Sus scrofa: one gene and its partners. The protein of the gene in region 2 interacts with the protein of the main gene of each other region in a biochemical or structural test. Links are inferred from orthologs where the notes say so. Each region holds a gene or a part of one and is shown on either strand. Other genes may lie near its edges.

The links. The genes of interacting proteins can lie anywhere in the genome.
Region 1: the proteins of PJA1 (region 2) and MAGED1 form a complex in vitro, tested with the Homo sapiens proteins (2 studies listed by BioGRID, with this or other methods). The link is inferred for Sus scrofa from reciprocal best matches to the Homo sapiens genes PJA1 and MAGED1.
Region 3: the proteins of PJA1 (region 2) and NSMCE3 form a complex in vitro, tested with the Homo sapiens proteins (2 studies listed by BioGRID). The link is inferred for Sus scrofa from reciprocal best matches to the Homo sapiens genes PJA1 and NSMCE3.

Annotation. Positions count from the first base shown.
Region 1 is NC_010461.5:45,321,113-45,325,338, reverse strand, and holds the start of MAGED1 (melanoma-associated antigen D1), read right to left. Parts: upstream 2,801-4,226; 5' UTR 2,669-2,800; intron 2,130-2,668; 5' UTR 2,101-2,129; coding exon 2,056-2,100; intron 1,355-2,055; coding exon 629-1,354; intron 1-628. UniProt on the Homo sapiens protein: Involved in the apoptotic response after nerve growth factor (NGF) binding in neuronal cells. Inhibits cell cycle progression, and facilitates NGFR-mediated apoptosis. May act as a regulator of the function of DLX family members.
Region 2 is NC_010461.5:55,277,784-55,282,033, forward strand, and holds the start of PJA1 (E3 ubiquitin-protein ligase Praja-1), read right to left. Parts: upstream 2,801-4,250; 5' UTR 2,658-2,800; intron 586-2,657; 5' UTR 358-585; coding exon 1-357. UniProt on the Homo sapiens protein: Has E2-dependent E3 ubiquitin-protein ligase activity. Ubiquitinates MAGED1 antigen leading to its subsequent degradation by proteasome. May be involved in protein sorting.
Region 3 is NC_010443.5:144,471,227-144,475,384, forward strand, and holds the start of NSMCE3 (non-structural maintenance of chromosomes element 3 homolog), read right to left. Parts: upstream 2,801-4,158; 5' UTR 2,695-2,800; coding exon 1,858-2,694; 3' UTR 1-1,857. UniProt on the Homo sapiens protein: Component of the SMC5-SMC6 complex, a complex involved in repair of DNA double-strand breaks by homologous recombination. The complex may promote sister chromatid homologous recombination by recruiting the SMC1-SMC3 cohesin complex to double-strand breaks.

The DNA.
Region 1 (4,226 bases), about 10 Mb from region 2:
CAGAGTCACCAACTGTTTCTATGTCCTTGCCCTATCTATTCCAGGAAGGCCCCCTAAAACCCTCACCTGTAGTGACAGCCTGACCCACTAGCCAATGGTCACCCTGAGTCCTGGGCTTGTCTTTCACTGTCTTCCAGGCAGGAGTTTCATCTCTGAACCAGGCCAGGAGCAACCCAAGGGTGGGGCCTGAAGCTTCTCCTCTTCCTATGTTCACCACTGGCTCTGCTTGTACCACCCTGGACAAATCACTCAAGTCACTTCACCTCTCTGGAAACTAGTTTCCTTCCCTGTAAAACTGAAACTATGACCCCAGCCGGTATGAAGCATCTTGAAGATTTAGTGCGTGAGATAACCTGTGTGAATGTGCCTAGGCCAAGACCTAACACATGATGGCTACTATCAAAATACACAAGGAATTACATGCAGACTGGATATATTACATGTCCATGTCTCATCTCCCCATTAGTCCGTGGACACTCAGAGGACAGGAATTATCACATACATCTTATCATCCCCTACAACCTAGCTGAATACAGGCAGCTATATATTGTTTTGTTTTAGAACAAATGAACAACCTCACAGAAGAAAGGAGAGGCCCAAAGCAAAGTGGAACTAGCAGGGATCTCACCTTTCGGGTCCTCTTGCCCCGAATTATAGTCCTGGATTCCAGATTCTGAGCCTGGGAGCCATCTGCTGATGTCTGTGCAGCTGCACCATCAGATTCACAGATACCTGGTCCTGGGTCAGCCTCTATGTCAGCCTGGGAAGTGGCCATCTTGGCCTGGTTAATATTCTGGGTCTGGGTTTCAGCTGTTGGGGCTTTAGTGGTATCATTCCAAGCCTTGAAGGCTGTCTTAGGCTGAGTGTTGACCATCTCATTGGCATTGAGAGATGGAGAGAAATTGTAAGTGGCATTTGGGCCCACCTTCGTAGTGGCATTCTGGGCCTTAAAGGCCATCTCAGGTTTGGCAGTTAACTCACTGGTGGTTGCTGCCTGGGAAAAATCATAGGCAGCATTTGGGCCCTTTGAGGGGGCATTTGGGGCCTTAAAGGCTACCGTAGGTGGTGTGCTGGGAATCTCCTTGGCATTAAGAGCCTGAGAGAAATCATAGGCAGCATTTGGGCCTTTTGTGGTGGCATTCTGGGCCTTAAAGGCTGTCTTAGGCTTAGTGGCAGCTGCTAAAGCCTGAATATCAGCCACCTCATTGGCAGATGGGGGCTGTGAACTCTGAGGACTAGCATTTGGCCCACTGGCAGCTGCTGTGGCCTGGTTGGTAGGTGGAGCCTCCGAGATCTGGATGGCCTCCATCAGGGTCTGCATAAGCAAGGTGCTGTCTTCTACAGAGGCCTCAGCCTGCAAATACAAGGGGAAAAAATAAATCTCTGGGCCTCACAAAGTGGGGTTGGGAGCGGGGGAGTAGCTCAGAGGAGGTGCAGGGGGGGCGGCTGGTGCAAAGAGAGGAAGGCTGAGGCAGAGATCTAGAGGCCTGAGAGGAATGAAGTGATAACAGAACGTGTGAGAGGGGCTGAGTGGGGCAGAGGTTAAACATGGGGCGGGCGGCGATGAGGTGAGGGGGGCAAAGTGGAAGGCAGGTGCTGATCTGGGAGTGAGGTTAGAGCAGAACATTGCAGTGTGAGGTAGGAGCTCAGGAGCAGGAGGAGGTGGAGCAAGAGTGCCGCCTGGAGGAGTTGAGGAGAATAAGGGGGTCGCAAGGGGTGGGGAATGCAGGAGGAAGGGAGGGTGGAGGAGGCTGGGGGAGGGGGCGGCAAAGAGCTCTACAAGCATCAGGACTATGGAAAAAAATGGTTCCTTACCCAACCCGCATTCTCTGGGCAGATTGCCCTGACTACTAACAGGGTCTCCCCTTTCTCTGAGCAGGGACTGATGGCTGAAAGGGACGCCCCCTCCCCCATAAACCATGGGAATTTGAAAAATGAAGGAATCCAGGCACCAAGAAGGCACAATCTGATCCAGGCGTTTGGATAGCCAAAGGGGCCCGGGAAGGGGGAAACTGTCGGCTGGGGAAATGGTGGGGTGGGGAGTGGAGATCTCACCTGGAAGCCGAGGAGGCCCGCACCACAGTCCATTTTCTGAGCCATGGTTCTTGTCCCTCTGGCAAGAGCAGAGCCTGGGGAGGGGGGTGTGGGGGAGGAGTTAGGCGTTACACTACAGAGGGTAAATGGGAAGGAATGAATGTGGGGAGACGGTGGTGTTTGAGGTTTGATTGTGGGGGCGGATGAGGTGCTGAATGTGAGGGGAACGGGCCAGATCGGAGTGGGAAAAGTGAATGGGTGTCCGGATGGATGTTCTGAATCCCTAGAAGCTACGACGGGGAGAAGCTTCAAATCGGGGTTTGGAAAACCGATTTAAGAGTTCTGAATCCAGGCGGATAGCACTGGGATTCGCATATGGGAAACTGAATGGAGTTTCCGAATCAGGAGGAATCATATAACAGTACAGATTGAGGTCGAGAAATCTGTAAATTCTGAACGATGGGAGGGGCTCAGAGAGCAAACAGGGATTCTGAATAAGGGAGGATCGGGTGAGGGGTGTGAATTAGGGTTCGGGGAGTGGAAGAAGGATCAGAATCCGGGGTAAAGGGATTGGGATGAAAAATGGGGGGCCCGCACCAGGGGGCAGATGCCCTGTCTGGGGGCTAATTCTCACCTTGCCTCAGGCCCCAACCCCAACCCCCTCGTTGCCTCCCTTCTTCACGACTCAGAGGATCGGGATTGCAGTGCTCGGCTCTCAGCAGCCGCACCCTCTCCTTGTCCAGGAGAAAATGCCAGCGCGGCAGCTAGGACGACCCCGCCTCTTCGCCTAATATACCACCCACCGCCTCAGATGGTTGTACGCATGCGCAAGAACTGACCGACCAAATAAGAGTCCCGCCTGCTTTCCCAACAAAAGCTTCGTCCTGAAGACTAAGGTGCGCATGTGCAGTGGGAGGCAATCCCGCCCCTTTGCCAACACACCACCCCACCACCAACCAGGTCGACAGTATACAGCGATCCCTCCCCTTTCTCTATATCCCCTCCCCCAAACAGATTCGCAGTGCCTCTAGATCCCACCCCTTGCCCCACACACTGGCCCCCTACCTTTTCCGCAATGCGTCTCTGTTCTATCCCTCCCCTCGCACGGCCCCTCCTGTCAGGTCGGCATGCATCTCCACCCCCTAGTCTAGCAGCACTTAGGTCACTATTAAGGAGGTCTCTGTAGGGGGGCTCTAACTGCTACAAGTGTTTGGCTCGGGCTAAAAATAAGCACATCCACTTAGGGACCCAGGAAAAGGAACGGCCAGAGGATACATTATTAGAGGTAGAGTCTGTGCCTGCCACGTGACTCCATGATTTCCACCCCCCTCCTCAACAGATCCCAGACTCATAAACATTAGCTTCTTTCCTGCCCTTTGTGCAGCTCCAGCTATTTATTTTGTGTGTGGAGGTGGGAAGGTGGGGAGGTGGGGAGGAGGGGAGGGAAGGGCACAGTTTGTACTTCACAGCACGATCTATGCTGGGGCTTGTTTTCTTCTTACAGCAGCCCTGGGAGGTGGATGTCAGCATCTCCATTTTACAGATAAAGACGCTGAGGTACAAACATATTGCATGAACTAGACAAAGCCACAAAGCCAGTAAACAGAGAAAGCAAAATGTGGTCCTGTCCTGGGTCTTCCAGACCCTAAAACCCACGATCCACCGGCGCTGGCCCAGGGACTGAAGCACCCTCCTTTTATCAGTTTAAGCAACAGATCTATCCCACCTCCTGCCCTGTCAACATCTGTCCCAAACAGACAAGGTTAGTGTTCCCTGAGACTTAAGCTCATGCTCTCAATTTAGGAGGAAACAGATAGAGGTCCCAGCTCTTCCTCCGCCCCGCCCCCTCCCACTCCCCGCCCTCCTGCTCTGTGGGTCCATCCAGATATGGGAATTGCTCATTGGGGTCCACTCCCTGCTCCGGCCGTCAGGCCCCTTCATTGTGAGAGGCACAAACGCCCTACCCCTGAGGCCTTTCTGGTGCCCGCTGGAGTGGCCAAGACAATCAGGCACTTGCAATTCTGAGCCATGGCAAGCCCGGATTCAGAATGTTTGCCCTGGTCCCTTCCTGGGCTGGGCTTCAATTCGTGGGATGGAGGGTGAGCCAGTGTCTACTAGCTGTGTGAGCCTGCTCAGGTCACTGGACTTTTCTGAGCCAGGTTTGTTCAATATGCAAACCATAAAGTGCAAAG
Region 2 (4,250 bases):
GTCAACATGTCCATAAGCCATTCCTCTTCTGCTCCCTGAAGCCCTGTACTCTCTGGGCGGGTACCTGGAGTAGTCCTCATTATCAACATTCAGGCTGGTTCCCGAGCTCTCGCTGTCGTCCCAACTACGACGGGTGGTGGAAAATGGTGATCGGCTCCTCTTGGTGGTTTGACTGGGGGCTGACCTGTGCATTGGGACTTCAGATGGCGTCTTTCTCTGGCCGAAAATCCTTTCCTGCTGGCTCGTGGAAGGCCTGAAACTGACACAAGCATGCCTTCTTCCATACCTCCTGTCTGTGTTGGACTGATACCCTCCTGCTGGCTTGGGCCATATAGGCTTGCTAGATTCCTGACCCATTGCTCTGACTTAGGAGGATTTCCAACACGGCTAGGGCTTGATTGGAAAGGCTCCTGCTCCCTGAACACACTTTGGAGATGGGCAAGTCAAATCAGTTCAGAATAAAGGAGCAGGGAGATTTATTTTCACTTCAGCAGGCAGGTAACAGAAAGAATAAGGGGCCTTTAAAATTAGTTTCACTTTCTTCTAAGGCCTGGAGTAGCATTCCAGTGACTGTCAGGTGTAGACCTGGAACACATTTTTAATGTTGGCAAAATGATTACAAAACTGGGTTTGTAGGAAAGCCAGACTTAGAGGAGAATCTGAAGGAAGATGGTGGGGGGGGGGGCGCTGACTGGACGCTTGAGAGGTGGGTGAAGCACTGGCATGGTGCCAACATGGAAAGAGGAAAGACTGCTGTGGTTTTTTTATGGGGTGTCTGCGTTTTTCTGAGCCCTGCAGACATACAGGAGAAATGCAAACTGGAAGAGCATAGAAAATATAGATCCCCACCACTGTGTTGCAAGAGTGCCTATGTGTCTGTCAGGAGGAGAGGGGCAGGTGGAAGGGGGACCAGCAATCACTCAGCAGAGATGTCTGTGTAGGGAAAATGCAGGTGACACTGGCATTGGTAACAGGCATGAGTGTCAGGCAGAATGAGTCCCATTCTGGATGTAGTTATGAAAAAGACCGGCATGGCTTCAGAAGAGAGGGGTGGGAGTATGTATGAGAGAAAGAGAATGTGCGTGTGGTTTGCTGTATGATGGCTGGAACTCTAGTGAGGGAATGCCTGTATTTCCCCATCTGTGGCAGGCCAGAAAGGGTATAGAAGCACTGAACAGGGGTGCCCTTGAATTTGTGTGCATGTGTTCGCCAAATGGGAGGCAACAATGGAGAAATGTCAGTGTGAGTAAATGCATCGATGGGGGTACAGCACTGGAGAGGGATGTGAGTGTGGCAGGGGGGCAGGCATGTGGGCACCAGCAATCAAAGAATGTTTTTTGGCAGGAAGGGGGGAGGCAGTGTCTCTGGAGAAGGATTTATGTGAGTGTGAGTGTGTGCACCACAAGGACCAGCGAAGGAGGGTGTCTAGGCTCATATGCAGCAGACAGGGAGCATCTGAGAGAGGTATGTGAAAAAGGTATGGATGCATAGTATGCATGTAAGTGGCGTAGGAAAAAAGCAATCCAAGGATATCCTTATGTGTGTGTGGTAAGGCAGCCCGGAGGGTGTGTGGGAGGATGAGGATATGTGTGTGTGTGTGTGTGTGTGTGTGTGTGTGTGTGTGTGTGTGTGTGTGTGTGTGTGTGTGTTCTGTGTGCTCACCAGTGCACGCAGAGGCAGAGGGAGGAGGGGGAAGCTTCTGGAGGTGTGAATGTGGCAGTCCGTGAGAGGCTTGGAAAGGCACAGGAAGGTGTGAGGCCATGTGTGTGTGTGTGTGTGTGTGTGTGTCAGGGGAAGGCACTAGAGAGCGTGAGAGTGTGTGAGAGGGTTTGTGTGTGTGAGTGTCCAAGCATGTGCGGGGGAGGGGATACGCAGGAACCTTGAGTATTGGGGGTGATGGTGGTAAGGGAGCCGCAATGGAAGGTTTCTGTGCATGCGTATGTGTGTATGTATATGTGTGTACGTGTGTGCGCGCGCGCACAAGCGTGTGTGCGGGCATGTGCGTGTGTGTCCCTGCTCGCGCGCAAGACACACGGATGGGAGGGGGCCGCAATGTCATAATGAGAAGGGGAGACTTATCGGCTCAAAAGGTAAATCCAAACCAATGGGAAAAGGGGGAAAAAAAAGAAAGAAAAGGGCGTGTGGGGGGTATAGTTTTTCCCTGGGAGTGATTTTGTTTTTCTGACAATTCTTTTCCTGAGAGCAATATATTTACCTAAAAATCTTCACCATTTACCATTCATCAAAACAACTGCAAAATGGGGTAAGAAAGGCCACGGATCGCTCCGCAGAGGAGCCAAAAAAGGAAGGCGGAGGAGGGAAAGGACAGGCAGAGAGAGGTGGGAGAGGGCCTCGACCACCACTCCCCTCTCGAATAACGATTCAAGCCCCCAGAGCGGAGTGGGGGCGGGCCACACGAAAGGGGCCGTTGTTGGGGCCGGGTGACGGAGGATGGAGCCCTAAATCAGACCGATGGAGGACACAGGCCTCCCTCTGCGGTCAGGACCCTCGTCCGCCCCACCCCTTCCCGAGGGGCGAGCCCGAAAATCTGTTCACTTAGAGCCCCCACCTCCACCTCGCCTCCCCCCCCGCCCCCCGGCCCCTCGCCCCACCGCCACGTCTGGAGGGATCGAGGAAAGAAACAGCCTTTCACTCACCCAGTCGCGACCCCCCGCACACTCTGGTGAAGAGCAGAGCTTTCGGACCTCCGACCGCCACGACCGCCAGAGCCGCTGCTCCCGGGGCTCCAGCTCCTCCCCCTCCAGACAGCAGTGGGGCGGGCACGACTGCGGCGGCGGAAGTGATTGTGGCGTCGCGGCGACCCGCCCCCTTGATGTGGCGGGGGCAGCAGCTGCTCTCGACAAATCAGGGTGGACCCGAAAGCATTATTTCATTTGAAATGATGAAATCGTCAAGGATACAGAAAAGGACAGCGAAAAATGTAACCAACAGTCGGCTTTAACAAGTGTTAAACATTTAGTCATATGCCTTTCCATTCTGTGCTTTTGGTAGCTGTTGTTGTCTTAAATAAAATGAAATCTGCAAATTCTTTCTGGTTCATTCTGGTGTGAAAATAATTATATTAATATACCCTATCCTATGTGCTATGTTATGGTTTGTATTGGAAGTTATCACTGTATTTAGGGTTGCAGTAGGCTTAAATTTTTTTTTAAATATGGTCGTTGAAGCAAATTGAACTGTTTACAGTAGAATTTGTTGCTGTTTATCACAAAATCGAGCTTCTCTGCCCAAAAGAAATTTTCAGTCATGAAGCACAACCTGGATTCACATTCTGGTAATTGCATTGCACTTTTTAAATATTATAATATTTAATATGCCTTTTGGATTTATACAATTTTATTGAACTCTGGAACTCCTTTTTTTAAATTGCACTTTACAAATATCTCTAGTATTTGTACCAAATGTAAAGATTCTCTATGTTCCTAATAGCAATGCTTTGTTCTTACTGGAAATAAAATGCATAATAGAAAAACAGGAGATTTTAGGGGTAGCAACAACAGAAATAGGATGTATAACTTTCAAACCATTAAAGAAATAATATGTACAACAAAGAGAAAAGCTCAATCTAACAAAAGGCAGAAATGGGATGGGAGGCAATTTAAAAAAGCATTTTTTAATGGCAGAAATAAAAATATATTAATATGTATTTTGGGTTAACATCTCCCATAAAAATTTTTAAAAAGCGAACTCTCATTTTGAGCATTTAATTTTTAGAAATCCAGTTATATGCTGTTTATATGAGATTCACCTAAAGCAGAAATAAGATTGGAAAATATATGCTAGTAAATATCAGCAGAAAAGAGGGAAAGAAAAAAAAAGAAGGAAGGGAGGGAAGGGAGGAATTTTTAAAAGGAAAAAGAAAGAGGAGGAAAGAAGGAAGGAGGGAGACTTATAGCAATGTTAATGTCAGAAAAATCAAGAACTCAAAGTAAAAAGCATTAAAAGAAAACAAATTGAGTTGTTCCATTCACTGAGAACATACAGTCACTAAAATTTATATGCCAAACAATGTAATTCCAAAATGTATGAGGCAAATATTGTTAGAAATATAGAGATTAGAGAGTCTGCAATTATAGTGGGGGACTTAACTGCATTGATTTTGGTGTAGATAGAGCAAATCAACTGAGAGATAAACAAGGATAGAGAGATACTGAACAACCCAATTAATAAGCCTCATCCAATGTATGTGTAGTTTTGTACTCAAGAAATAATGTCTTTTTCACTAAAAA
Region 3 (4,158 bases), on a different chromosome or scaffold from region 2:
GCAATTGATCAAATAATTATTAGAAGGATTAAAGGATATGAATTTCTTACTGTTCGAGAAGTTAGGTACAGATAGAACAGTACAGATAGAACAAGGGAGAAAACCATAATAAACACTACGGTATAGAATGGATATGCTATTATCAATGTAATGTCATAGTTTTCAGTAGATGATAGCTAGATATACAAATAGACAAAAAGACTAACTTTGTCATGTAGAGGGCTAGAAGCAAGGATACTTCTAGAAGGCATGAGGAAACCTGGCAACCTTGTTTCTGAATTCGTTTCCATCCAAAAGGAATCAGAGCTCTTTGGAGAAAATGGCTGAGAGGTCTGTGGCAGGGAAAATTCAAGTTAAGGCTGAATGATCTTTTTGTGCCAGAAAGTATGGAATTGCTCAAAGAATGATGGGGGCAAGTAGAAGACACAAAAGCCAGCTTTAAAATGCTCCCAGTGGCAAACAGGGACAATTTGGGTATCAAAATAAATCGTGACAATAAAAGACTATAATGAATCTATACAGATAAAAGTGAATAAACTGAAATTTTGGTGAGGAATACAATATTTACAAAATCTCTGTCTCCACACAAGTTGCTTGTTTGTTACAAAGGGAAATGGAAAATTTCAAAGTGTAGAGGAATGGCAGAAACCACCTTAACCAAAGTGATCAAAGTTACAAAATAATAGGACAAATTGAAAACTAAATAGATAATGAAAGAAAACCTTCAAAATTTTTTTTTGTTGCTCCATACCAAGAATAAAAAACATATTTAAACAAACTTTTAAGGAACAGAGCAACAACTAAAATCCCCCACACCCAGCATTGTGCCAAGAACTTCACACATATTTCCATATCTAAGTATCACATCACACACAATACAGGCATCATCAACCCACTTTACAGGTGAGGAAAAATCTGTATACATCTTAAGTAACATGCCTAATTCATATAGCTAGTTATGCAGAAGTAGAATCTGAATCCAGATAGTTTGCTTCCCAGGTAGGCATGGTTAATCACTAATGGCTTTATCTTTTCTGTAACCCACTGAAAGAAATACATTTTACATCGTGATATGCACATACACAAATAAAACAATTTCCACAAAACACTATTTACCTTAATGCTATGTAGCAAAAAGTGTTTTTTGTTAAGATGCCTGTTTTCAGTCATGAAATTAATTTCTCGACTTATGGTTAAAAAAATGCACAATGCTGCTTCAAAACACAGTATTTATTGTAACTATAGTAGCCAAAAAAGGAAAAAAATAAATGTAACTAAAAGTCAGCCACACAACCTAGTAGTAATTATCGAGGTAAAGTTATTTGGGAAAAATACAGCATGTACATTACTTAGAATGATTCATAACGCTTACATACATAAAAAATACATTCTAAAAGTAGCTATGCTAAATTTAAAAAGGGATATAGGCAATTACATTTTATAGACTTTTATTGTTTCAATTTATAGACTTTTATTGTTCCTTTCAAAGTGGGGTCGTCAAGAGGCCAGGTAAGAGCCATTTCGTGCTTTTATTTCCTTGACATCAAAGCAACTTACTGACGTGTTCTTTCTTCAATATCTATTTCCAGATCATGGTACAAAGTTTTCCAATTAGCTTTAGAAAGCTAGCGAGATTTTTATACCAAAAAACACAGACAATAAATCAAAACAAATCGTCCGTTAATATTTTTATAGGTGAAAATTTGGAACCAAGGAACTTGCAATATAAGTCGGCAAACACATCCTAAAACTACGCACATTGAAGCTTTAGCAGAAAGATGCACACACACCACACACACACACACACACACACACGCCCCCCACCCCCCCCTGGAGTCCCTCTGAGTCTCTCAGATTTCAAGAAGAAGGGGCTGGGCCACCTGTTGGGGGTCTGGCCCTGGCCTCCTCCTCAGCCAGAGCCTCACAGTACTGAGCCGGCCAGTCCTTGGGGTCCTGATTGTGGACTTTGGCCACGAACTTGAGCACCTTCATCTTGCTGGTCTCCAGGTTGGTGCGTGGGCCCCACTGGAGCTCGTAGTCCACAGGATCAGTGTGGGGGATGCGCCGGTACTCCAGATACCTCTGCCGCACGAAGTCCTCGGTTATAAGCTTCTTGGGGTCCCCGAAGATCAGGTGCTTCTTGGTGGGGTGCACCCCGAGGCGCCGCAGAAAGTCCCAGACCTCCGTCTCCTTGATGCTGTTGCCTTTCATAAAGATGAGCCCCAGCACGATCATCAGCAACCCGGTGGTAGGTGTGCCCTGGTCGCCGCGCACCTCGGCGTCCTCCTCCACCGGCTCCAGCGTGTTGACCAGGATGTAGGTGTTGCTCCGGGGCTCCAGCTCTACCAGCCGGTACCCGAACACGTACTCCAGGCGCTCGGCTGCCAGCCGGAGCAGCTCCGGGAGGACGTCTTTATAGTCTCCGACCACGTGCTTCAGGATGTCGGTGCGCCGGATCGGGATCTTCCTCTGGTCCTTGATCAGCAGGAACTGCACGAGTTCGGCCACCTTCAGCTCCAGCTGCTTCTGCGACCGGGGCCCCGGCGCTGGGGAGGCCTCGGCCCGCCGGCCGCCCTGCGAGGAAGGCCCGCGGGACGTGCTCGGGACCTCCTCTGCGCCGCCGCCTCCTCCCCAGTCCCGCTCCCGTTCTGCCTGGGTGCCGGCGCGGCCGCGACTCTTCGGTTTTTGCGACATATCGCGGCGGCGGGCCCCGGACGGCGCGGACTCACAGTAACCGGCGGCTGCGAGATTGCGGGTAGGCGCGCAGCTGGTCCCGGCGGCCCGGGGCGGGGCCACGGGCGCGAGTTCCTCACGGAGGCTGCGCGCTGCGTCAAGAGGGCTGCGCGCTACGTCACGGAGTTCGCGCCACGTCTTGTGGGTAGGTCGGAGCAGTGGCCTTTTGGCAGTCAGGAAAGTGGGGTCTTTGCTCAGCCTTGGCGGTCCCTATGGCTTCTTTTATTATAATTAAGGATTGTCCTTACCAAGCCAAGCAGATAGAGAACAGGAAACAAAGCCCCTAACAGAGCGACTAGGACTACTGAGAGTAAGTATGACGAGTTCTCAAGTCGGAACTTGTTAGGTGAAGGAAACTCCGAAGGTGAATGTGGGAGAAAAACCGCGGAGAGCGTGAAAGGAAAGTGAAAGCATTTCTTTTCCATTCAAAACTAGATGTAAAAGGAATGAAAAACCATGAGGACTAGTTTGCTTTCACCAATCCCTCCTAACCGTTTCCCAAGAGTTACTTTCTCTAAAGCCTGTTTAAAACAGTCTCTTTAAAAACAAAGGTAACAACAGACTTGCCTTTTCACTATTTCAGTGTCGATATTGTGTACATATAAATACCATCAGCTGGACAACTTCGCGAAGCCGCCCCATAAATCACGTTTAATTGGAGTGTTTTTGCTTGGTCAAGGGAGTTTATCTTTTATAAAGCACATGCTCATGAAAATCGCCTTGGTCCCACAACCAGAATTTTAGCAGAAATGGGTGAGAGAAAGCTACCAACAAAGATATGCGCTCTCAAGAGGTTGCCGTTTAATTTTAGGCATCCTGACCAAGAACTGCAATCATGGACTGCCTTAATAGATCAGCCTTAAGGGCTCAATGTGAAAGTTAGGAGAACCCAAGGGTAGCATCCCTTATAATCTATTAAATGTGCAAAAAAAAATATATATATATATATATATATACATATATATATACACACACATAGTGCAACTTTAATAACCAACATGAATTGTTTCATTAACTCAAACCATTTGCAGTCTGCTGCCTTATTTCCACGGATCTTAGCAAATGCCTTTCTTTAAAAAAATTTTTTTTCTTTCGTTTTTTTGTCTTTTTGTCTTTTTAGGGCCGCACCCATGCATATGGAGGTTCCCAGGCTAGGGGTCTAATCAGAGCTGCAGCTGCCAGCCTACACCACAGCAACGCCAGATCCAAGCCGAGTCTGCCACCTACACCACAGCTCAAGGAAATGCTGGATCCTTAGGCCACTGAGTGAGGGCAGGGATGGAACCCAGACCTCATGGTTCCTAGTCAGATTCATTTCTGCTGCGCCACAATGGGAACTCCAGCCTTCCTTTTCTATTTAGTGACTTGCAAAGAAGAAACTGAGTTTCCCATTTTGTCTTTTTTAAAGCTACCAGAAAGTGGGTA